3 linked regions of the Saccharomyces cerevisiae S288C genome follow. Changing the gene in region 1 together with any one later gene gives a genetic interaction. Each region holds a gene or a part of one and is shown in the gene's direction. Other genes may lie near its edges.

The links. A genetic interaction does not mean that the proteins touch.
Region 2: mutations in PDH1 (region 1) and MRH1 together harm fitness more than expected from each alone (negative genetic interaction), as found in Saccharomyces cerevisiae (2 studies listed by BioGRID).
Region 3: mutations in PDH1 (region 1) and SDO1 impair growth when combined (synthetic growth defect), as found in Saccharomyces cerevisiae (one study listed by BioGRID).

What each region holds. Positions count from the first base shown.
Region 1 is NC_001148.4:556,571-560,464, forward strand, and holds PDH1 (putative 2-methylcitrate dehydratase), read left to right. Parts: upstream 1-1,814; coding exon 1,815-3,365; downstream 3,366-3,894. Other genes in the region: citrate (Si)-synthase CIT3, read left to right, coding at 1-1,267. UniProt on the Saccharomyces cerevisiae protein: Catalyzes the stereospecific dehydration of (2S,3S)-2-methylcitrate (2-MC) to yield the cis isomer of 2-methyl-aconitate.
Region 2 is NC_001136.10:506,316-509,609, forward strand, and holds MRH1 (Mrh1p), read left to right. Parts: upstream 1-1,831; coding exon 1,832-2,794; downstream 2,795-3,294.
Region 3 is NC_001144.5:183,674-186,974, reverse strand, and holds SDO1 (guanine nucleotide exchange factor SDO1), read left to right. Parts: upstream 1-2,048; coding exon 2,049-2,801; downstream 2,802-3,301. Other genes in the region: IZH3 (Izh3p), read left to right, coding at 1-1,477; IRC25 (Irc25p), read right to left, coding at 2,813-3,301. UniProt on the Saccharomyces cerevisiae protein: Involved in the biogenesis of the 60S ribosomal subunit and translational activation of ribosomes.

The sequences.
Region 1 (3,894 bases):
AGGTGGGATGAGAGGTAATCAGTCAATGTTTTGGCAAGGAACATCATTAGATCCCGAACATGGCATTAAATTTCAAGGTTTAACGATTGAAGAATGTCAAAATAGATTACCTAATACAGGTATTGATGGCGATAATTTCCTGCCAGAATCAATGTTATGGCTGTTGATGACAGGTGGTGTGCCAACTTTCCAGCAAGCTGCTTCTTTCAGGAAAGAATTGGCTATTCGTGGAAGGAAATTGCCACATTATACAGAGAAAGTTTTGTCAAGTTTACCCAAAGATATGCACCCTATGACCCAACTTGCAATTGGTTTAGCATCAATGAACAAAGGATCCCTCTTTGCTACAAACTACCAAAAGGGCCTCATAGGAAAGATGGAATTTTGGAAAGATACTCTTGAAGATTCGCTAAATTTAATTGCTTCACTCCCGCTGCTGACTGGGAGAATTTATTCGAACATTACAAATGAGGGACACCCATTAGGTCAATATAGTGAGGAGGTGGATTGGTGTACAAACATATGTTCCCTGCTCGGCATGACAAATGGAACGAACTCTTCTAATACATGCAACCTTACTTCCCAGCAATCCCTGGACTTCATAAACTTGATGCGGTTATATACCGGTATACATGTAGACCATGAAGGTGGTAATGTTTCTGCTCACACCACCCACTTGGTTGGAAGTGCGTTGAGTGACCCGTATCTCAGCTATTCATCTGGAATAATGGGATTAGCGGGTCCTTTGCATGGGTTAGCAGCACAAGAAGTAGTAAGGTTTCTCATAGAGATGAACTCTAATATTTCCAGCATTGCACGAGAACAAGAAATCAAAGATTATCTTTGGAAAATTTTGAATTCAAACCGTGTGATCCCCGGTTATGGGCACGCAGTTTTGCGTAAACCGGATCCTCGATTTACAGCAATGCTTGAATTTGCGCAAAAGAGGCCTATTGAATTTGAGAACGACAAGAACGTTTTGTTGATGCAAAAATTGGCAGAAATAGCGCCTAAGGTTTTGTTGGAACACGGAAAGAGTAAGAATCCATTTCCCAATGTTGACTCTGCATCGGGGATTTTGTTTTATCATTATGGAATCAGGGAATTATTATTCTTTACCGTCATTTTTGGGTGTTCAAGGGCCATGGGACCCTTGACACAACTTGTTTGGGATCGCATTCTAGGTTTACCAATTGAAAGGCCCAAGAGTTTGAACTTGGAGGGTCTGGAAGCACTTACCAAAGCAAGCAATGTTAACAAGTTGTAACGCAGTTCCAATTTACAAGAATGCTTCGTTTGCTATTACAATATTGAAATATAAATAAAATTCCATACAGCATGTCTAATCATAGCTAATTTATACATATTCATCATGAAAACATATAGGGGAAAATATGGTCGGTTAACACACCTATCAAAAAATTATTCAGCAATTCCAATCTCGTTAGTAAAATATATTCTTATTTTTTTTTTTTTTCTCTGATTGTATTATTTCTGGAGTTTTGACTTATTTTTTTACCACATCGCGCTTTTCGTCCCCAATCTCTCTGATATATGATGCTGTCTATAGGTAGCCACTTCCCCGATGTCGGACCTCGGGCCGTTTACAAACTTTATTGAGATGACCTTATTTCTCCACATTCTAGTCATTCAACTTTTACCCTCATATGTTTACCTTCACTAATGTGAAAGCATGACCAAAGAAAGTGTATAAGGTATATAAATCTGCCATAATGTATGTATAACTTATTAGGACTTTCTCAAATAGTATTTTGGTATTTTCTACTGTTCTCTGATGATCGAGAGCAAACAGAATGTTTTTAGCCAAAAATCTAAAAAATAATAAAATCAAGGTATGCTTGCCTAAAAAGAAATTTGCTGCGCTGAGTACAGCGTCTATACAAACTAATGAAAGACCAAATCCAGATAAGGTTTTGAAGGACATCGCGAAATATGTCCATGAAACCCCATTAAAATCATCTTTGGCTCTAGATACAGCACGACTCTGTTTCCTTGATACTCTAGGCTGTGGCTTGGCGGCTTTGAAATTTAAGCAGGCTCAAAATATTATTAAACCAATTGTGCCAGGAACAATAGTTCCCAGTGGAACAAAAATATTGGGCACATCTTACGTTATGGATCCAGTGAAGGGAGCTTTTGCCATTGGTACTCTAATACGTTGGTTAGATTACAATGACTGCTGGTTAGCTGCCGAGTGGGGGCACCCATCAGATAACCTTGGGGGAATTTTAGCTGTCGCGGATCACTTGTCCAGATTAAACAAGGCTACCCACGGAAAGAATGGAAAACAGTTTCTTGTTAAAGACGTATTAGAGGCAATGATTAAAGCGCATGAAATCCAAGGTATTATAGCGCTCGAAAATTCTTTCAATAAAGTAGGTTTAGATCATGTGGTACTCGTGAAAGTAGCAACGGCTGGTGTTGTCTCGAAGATGCTGGGCCTGAGCCAGGAACAAACTATTGAAGCATTGTCACAAGCATTTGTAGACGGTCAATCACTGCGTACTTACCGTCATGCCCCAAATACTGGATCTAGAAAGTCGTGGGCGGCGGGAGATGCAGTTTCGAGGGCTGTAAACTTGGCTTATTTAGTCAAAAATGCTAATGTTGGCACGATACCTTCAGTATTAACAGCTAGAACCTGGGGATTTTATGACGTTTTATTTAAGGGTAAACCTTTTTCATTCCAACAAAGATCAAAATATGATTCCTACGTCATGGAAAACGTTCTGTTCAAGATATCATTTCCTGCCGAATTCCATGCGCAAACTGCTGTAGAAGCTGCTGTAAAAGCATATAGGATTCTTGCCAAACAAGGGAAAACTTTTAAAGATATTAAATCGATCAGAATTAGAACTCAAGAGGCGGCAATGAGGATTATAGATAAATCCGGTCCTCTGTATAATTATGCCGATAGGGATCATTGTATCCAGTACATGATCGCGGTTCCGCTGATTACTGGTAATCTCACAGCTACTGATTATTCGGATGAGGTCGCAAGAAATCCTGAGATCGATAACTTGAGATCGAAAATGTACTGTATCGAAGATACTCATCTCACTCAAAACTATCACGATCCTGATAAAAGGTCGATAGGAAACGCTCTTCTCATAGAGCTGAACGATGGGACGCAGTTGGATGAAATTTTTGTAGAGTACCCTGTTGGTCACAAATTTAGACGAGAGGAAGGAATACCATTACTAATGAATAAATTTCAAAGGCATCTGCGCGAACATTTTGTAGAGAGCCCTGATAAAGTCGACCTTATAATGAAGGTAAGTTCAAAAACAAACTTTTTGAATATGCAAATCGACAAATACATGGATTTGTTTACTGAGGGATGAATGGTTGGCTCTTTAAGAGCGAACGGCATGGTACCTACTTCAATTTTTAAAGACAAAAGGCGCCGTTTCGATAAACAAGAAATCACTTTCAAAACATAATTAAACCAAAGAACATGCGGTTTTCTAATTATGCTGGCTTAATTTTACTGGTATTTATCTACATAATAATAACTATTAAAAAATTAAATAATTGGCTCTATTTATTTTTCTTTCTTCAACTTGCAAGAGTTCGTCAATTCATGGAAAAATACAAAAATAGAAATGCGAATTCTGTGGATCGAACACAGGACCTCCAGATAACTTGACCGAAGTTTTTTCTTCAGTCTGGCGCTCTCCCAACTGAGCTAAATCCGCTCAATTTCTATGCTCTAACCACCTTAGCTAAAAACTCAATACAGGATTAGTTGATAAATGGGTGTTATCAACTCAATCCACAGTGTTGGAATCAGAGTCAGTTATCATCTTTGGGCTAGTATTATTGTAAGTGTTGGAATAAAAATTCTAAAATATCATCCATTTAGTAGTGTTC
Region 2 (3,294 bases), on another chromosome or scaffold:
AAACTACCCCGAAAAAGAAGCACAGCTTTATAAAAAGACCGTATTAATTTGCTTTATTGGGTAATAACGGGGCATTCGGGACATACAATCATACGCTAGATGCTGCGTGTAATAATTAACATTGTAAATCCCTATCTTTTTTTTTTATATAAGTAGAGTACTTTAAAAAGAGTGGACGACTGAGTTCATATACAAGCAGACGCCCTTTCATTTAATCTCAATCTTGTTTCAGGCCGGCTTTTGTCCATAACTGCTACGCTGCGTAAAAAAAAAATAAGAGAAATTGAAAAATATGGGCGTCGTCTAAGGATGGTAACTAGCTTCATTATACTATGGGTCTTCCTTCTTTTCCAACGCTTCCACTTTGACCTCAATCTCTTCTCGATGGCCTAAGGTAGCAAGGTTGTGTTAAAAAAAACAAATACATCAGAGCAAGACACTTTTGGGTTTATTAGGTATTATAGGTATAGGTCAATTAATTTCTTATCTTTTGTTGAGAGGATAAGGGTAATATTAGCGACCCTTAAGTAATTTTTGTTCTGTTTTACTTCAGTTTAATAAAAGCGACTGCCGCCGACCTTACTCCCTTTTTTTTATTATGCTCCTCGAGACAAGGTCGCTTAAAAAAAAAAAAAAGCTTAGTCAGACATGCAATCAGCGCAATTTATGGAAGCTGGAAAGGGGGGCCGCATTTTATGCACTATCTCTTGAATTCAAAAAGTAATTCAGGCCAAATTAACTAAGGATGCAAATGAAGCGAGTACTGAACGAATAGTCATGTTCTGAATTTCAAGCATTCAAATTTTGCTTTTCAGCGCTGTTCATCTTAGCGCTTACCATAAAGAGGAATACGTAATTCAACAACGGAGTTGAAAAATTTTTAAAATCGTGCCGGTGTTAGTGAGAAGAGGATGGAGGGAATTAATACTTCGATGGAAGATGCAACTTGCAAATGTAGTCCGGTTACCAAGAGACCCAAACCTCTTCCACTTTACTATTTCTCCTTTGAGAAATATATCAGTTTGCGGTAATAGGTAATATGAAAAAGGCAATAAAAAAAAGAGATACTTGTCACCATCTCGTCTCCCTTTACCTTTTTTACTTAATCTTCTTCGTCGTCATCTGTTCCATCCCTTTCCTAGCTTAGTCTTCTCCGGCTAGTTCTTAGTGCGGTGAGCAAAAAAAATAGCGTTTTTTTTCCCTCACCAGGACTTTTTTTGTTAACCGAAAATCGGCATCTCTAGTTTTCCTGGACAAAAAAGGCAAAATGGAAATAAACACTCATACGAATCAGTAAAGATGTAAATAATCGCAGTAACGACTGCACAAGGATGTCAGAAAAAGCAGTTTAATTCCAGAAGTGGTTTTCCAATTTATCACACATGTACATGAAGGGAAATGTATAAATACGGTCTTCGTAAAACAAAGGATCTCTTCACCTGGTTTCTTCATTTATAAGTAGTGTCTTTTTCGGTAACTTAAGATATATCCTTATTTCTTTCCCACTTCTCGTTATTTCTTCTTTTTCCCTTTTCAAGTTCTTCTTTTTATTTATTATTAAGCTTATTTTAATTCTTAGATCGTTGTCACTATCTTTTGTCCTTATTGTTAAGAAACATTGCGAAGAAAAAGAATAATAAAAGAAACTCAGAAAAAAAAAAAGTTTCCTCGAACAAAAATATTATTATTTCAATAACTTTTTCTTTCTCTACATCCAATTTTTTGACCCTATTTTAACATTAATTTTTTGCTTTAATTTTAACTAATACCTAATTTCACTTAATATCTAATCATCTTCCTTTAACCCACAGAACAAAGAAGAAAAATAACAATGTCTACCTTTGAAACTTTAATTAAAAGAGGTGGTAACGAAGCCATCAAAATTAACCCTCCAACCGGTGCGGATTTCCACATCACTAGTCGTGGTTCCGATTGGTTCTGGACATGTTTCTGTTGTTACCTATTATTTGGTTTAATTTTAACATTCTTAATGTTCAGAAAACCAGTCAATGACAGATTCTTTTACCTTACCGGTATTGCTCCAAACTTTTTCATGTGTATCGCTTATTTCACCATGGCTTCTAACTTAGGTTGGATTCCAGTCAAGGCTAAGTACAACCATGTCCAAACTTCTACTCAAAAAGAACATCCAGGTTACAGACAAATCTTCTACTCTAGATTCGTTGGTTGGTTCTTAGCTTTGCCATGGCCAATTATTCAAATCTGTATGCTAGCTGGTACCCCATTCTGGCAAATGGCTTTCAATGTTTGTATTACTGAATTCTTCACTGTTTGTTGGTTGATCGCTGCCTGTGTTCACTCCACTTACAAATGGGGTTACTACACCATCGGTCTAGGTGCTGCTATTGTCGTTAGTATCAGTGTTATGACCACCAGTTACAACTTGGTGAAACAAAGAGATAACGATATCAGGTTGACATTCCTTGTTTTCTTCAGCATTATTATGTTCTTGTGGATTATTGCTTACCCAACTTGTTTCGGTATTACCGATGGTGGTAACGTTTTGCAGCCAGACTCTGCCGGTATTTTCTATGGTATCATTGATCTTATTTTGATGTGTTTCATTCCAACTTTATTGGTTCCAATTGCTAACCACTTCGGTGCTGACAAATTGGGCTACCATTTCGGACCTAGTGATGCCGAAGCAGTGATGGCTCCAAAAGCTCCAGTTGCTAGTCCAAGACCTGCTGCTACACCAAACTTGAGTAAGGACAAGAAAAAGAAGTCTAAGAAGAGCAAGAAATCTAAGAAGTCTAAGAAGTCTGAAGAATAAGCCAATCGTCATGTCAATTATGTGCTACTTTCTTCTTTCTTTCAATCATCTTTGAAGAATTTTCTACTTCAAGCCAATCCTATAAATGGATAAAACTGTCTTTATTGATTATTTGACAAGATTATTTTACTCCATCTTCAACTTTTATCATATTTTATTTTATTTTCCTGACGTTTCAATATTTTCGTTCGTTAAATTATCACCATTTCTTGTCGAATTTTTATTTTCTATCATAAAGTGCAATTCTAGACTCATTTTTTAATTTAATGGATCCATTTAATCCATTTCGTCAAGCAAGTATGTTTTCATAACAATATTTTGCTCAGTGCATTTTGATCAAGAAACGTATAGTTGATGATTAGAAACGAGCTTTTTTATGCCCATCGTCATCTATATATATATTTGTATCACTTTAATAGTTATTTTAATATTTGATAACAACCTTTCTAATAGTATTGTTATGGAAGGTTTAGTGCTGGAGGAAAAAAAAGAAAGATAAA
Region 3 (3,301 bases), on another chromosome or scaffold:
TCCATTTTCAACTATTGATGAAAGTGTTAAACACTCTGAAAGTGGGCGGTATGATGATTTGGAGATAATTCGTCCAACAAAAGAAAAGGAAGTAACAAGTTCTGTGTACAAAAGAAACAGTGGCAAGTCTCTGAATACAGAATCTCAGTTTTCACTGGGAGATTCAGATGCAGCCACTTTGGTGAATTCAGTCGCTACTTTCAAGCTTAACAATGCTTCTACATCCACTTCACTGGTGTCTTCATCTTCAACTGTATGTTCTCAAGCGAAGTCCTCGTTACGTTCCCCAACAAGTCGTCTCAATGATACAAAAATCAAAGAGGAAAACAATTATATTTCCAGCGTGAAAGACTATTGCGGTCCAATGAGAAAATCCATGGTAAAGACGGAAATCCTCATTGAAGAACCTTTGAATCCTACTACCGATATCAAGTCTTTTATAAACTCATACAACCATGGCAAAGCGTATAGTCTAGGTGAAACTCAACATTTACATTATTATCAGTTGCCATTCCCATGGAGGGAAAACAGATACATAATCCATGGCTATAGGTTTTACAATACCCATTCCAAATCTTTGTTGTCTATCTTTAACTGGTACGGCTGGCATAATGAAACTTCAAATATTTGGTCTCATTTGTTAGGAGCCATTTATATAATCTACTTGGCAATTTACGATTTCCCTCAGTCTGAAGTTTGGCGGAATTCCCAGGTTCCACCACAGGCTAGATGGATTGTTTTCATGTTTTTGGCAGCTGCGTTGAAATGTATGCTAAGCTCCGTGTTTTGGCATACTTTCAACGGAACGTCCTTCTTGAAGCTACGTTCTAAATTTGCGTGTGTCGACTATAGCGGTATTACGATCTTAATTACAGCTTCGATATTGACAACGGAGTTTGTTACCATGTATTCATGTTACTGGGCGATGTACACTTACATGAGTATTTCTCTGGCGCTGGGTGTATTTGGTGTGTTTATGAATTGGTCGCCTCGCTTTGATAGACCTGAAGCAAGGCCATTAAGAATTAGATTCTTCATTTTGCTGGCTACTATGGGTGTATTGTCGTTTTTACATTTGATATTTTTGACTGATCTTCATTATGCTGCAACGCTATTTAGCCCCGTCACATACAAATCTGTTGTTTGGTATTTGGTTGGTGTGGTATTTTACGGTTCGTTCATTCCTGAACGGTTCAGATCTGACGTTCAGGTTGATAAGACCATTCCAACAAACTACGAATTATCTACTGATTTAGAAATCATCACAAAGCAAAGGGAAATTCATTTTAGAGAGGTGCCAACAGCCCATTCCAAATGCAGTTCCTGTCCGTCTCATGCCAAATCATTTAAATCTCTATGGTGGGTTGACTATTTTGGTTGTTCGCACACTTTTTGGCATTTCTTCGTAGTGTTGGGTGTCATCGGCCATTATAGAGCTATTTTAGATATGTTTGCCAAGAGGTGGATTTTGTCATGATGGTATGACTGACTACCTTTACTTACAACATCCTGCACTTTTTCTGTATACGATAAACGGACTTAAAAGAAAGAAAAGCCTACAATTACATTGTTGGAGAAGCCACATAGCAATTTCGAAAAAAACCAGAAATTGTAAACCACGAATTCTCCTGTATTATTTCATTGTTAAAATTTTTTTTTTACTTATATTATACCCATCTTTTTCGATATTCCTGCTGGCATTGTTTTGGCTACATTTTCAAGAAACTTTGGATCCAAAGACAAAAGGAACAAACGAAATCTAAAAGCAAAAAAAAAGTTGACTGATTATAAAAACTACATTACGACGAAAAGAAAATAATAAAACTGTGTACTTTTAGTTTTGCATTTATGTATTGACTGTTATTTAACTTATTATGACCTCATGAAAGAACAAAACTTAGCGTGTATTGTTCTGCTCAGTGCCTTGTATATATAATAATGTTCATGAAAAAATTTTTCTAGGCCGAACTTAAGTGATTTCATGCAGTAGTAAAAGTTTTTAAAATTTTTACTAAAATAGTTCTGAGAAAGAAAAGGTAAAACACGCAATGCCTATCAATCAACCGTCGGGACAGATTAAGTTAACTAATGTTTCATTAGTGAGATTAAAAAAGGCTCGCAAGAGATTTGAAGTCGCGTGCTACCAAAATAAGGTCCAAGACTATCGAAAAGGAATTGAAAAAGATCTGGATGAAGTGCTGCAGATACATCAAGTTTTCATGAATGTTTCGAAAGGCTTGGTTGCTAATAAGGAAGATCTACAAAAGTGTTTCGGGACTACAAATGTTGATGATGTCATCGAGGAGATCATGCATAAGGGAGAGATTCAATTATCGGAAAAAGAAAGACAATTAATGCTTAATAAAGTTAATAACGAAATGCTTACAATAGTTAGCGCTAAATGTATAAATCCTGTGTCAAAGAAAAGATATCCGCCCACAATGATCCACAAAGCTTTACAGGAACTGAAGTTCAGCCCTGTTATTAACAAACCTGCCAAATTGCAAGCTTTAGAGGCTATCAAATTATTGGTTTCTAAGCAAATTATTCCAATAGTAAGGGCGAAGATGAAAGTCAAAGTGGCCATAAGTGAGCCATCTAGACAACCCGAACTTATTGAGAAGATTAGTAAATTGATAGCTTCATCGCCTGGAGAGTCAACGAAGCCGGAATTGGATCCTTGGACATGTACAGGTCTTATCGATCCTGTCAATTATAGAGATTTGATGACCCTATGTGATAAAAAGGGAACTGTGCAAGTCTTGGATATGGCAGTCATAGATAATACAACGCATAACTAATTTATATAGAATCACTTTGCATACATATCTTTGATACACTTTAACACAAAAACTAATTTGCCAAAATCATTATCGTCAGCGCTTTGTTCCTTCGTTGCTCTCCATATCTTACTGCTCATGGATATCAGCAAGCTGAATTGCATGTTGTCTTGGGCCATCGTACCGCTCACTTCTGGTAGAATAACTCTCCTATATAGTTCGGCAATCTGTACGCATACCACGGGTACTTTAGGATCGGCACTATCTCCCAACTTGGTAACCACTTGATAATCAGATAAATGGTCTCTTACAAATTCTTCTTCCTCATCGTCATAATCGCCACCCGTGTTTCCTAGGTTTCCTGCCAGTGGTACGTTGATATCGAGAATTGGGTTTAGTCCTTTTGAAGATACCTCATAGGTGGAATCCATTTCCCCATTTAGTCTGATTTGCAATAGAATTGTGTTATTAAAGTGCGTGGCTTGTACATACAATTCTTTGTTTTCGGATGAAGCGTTCAA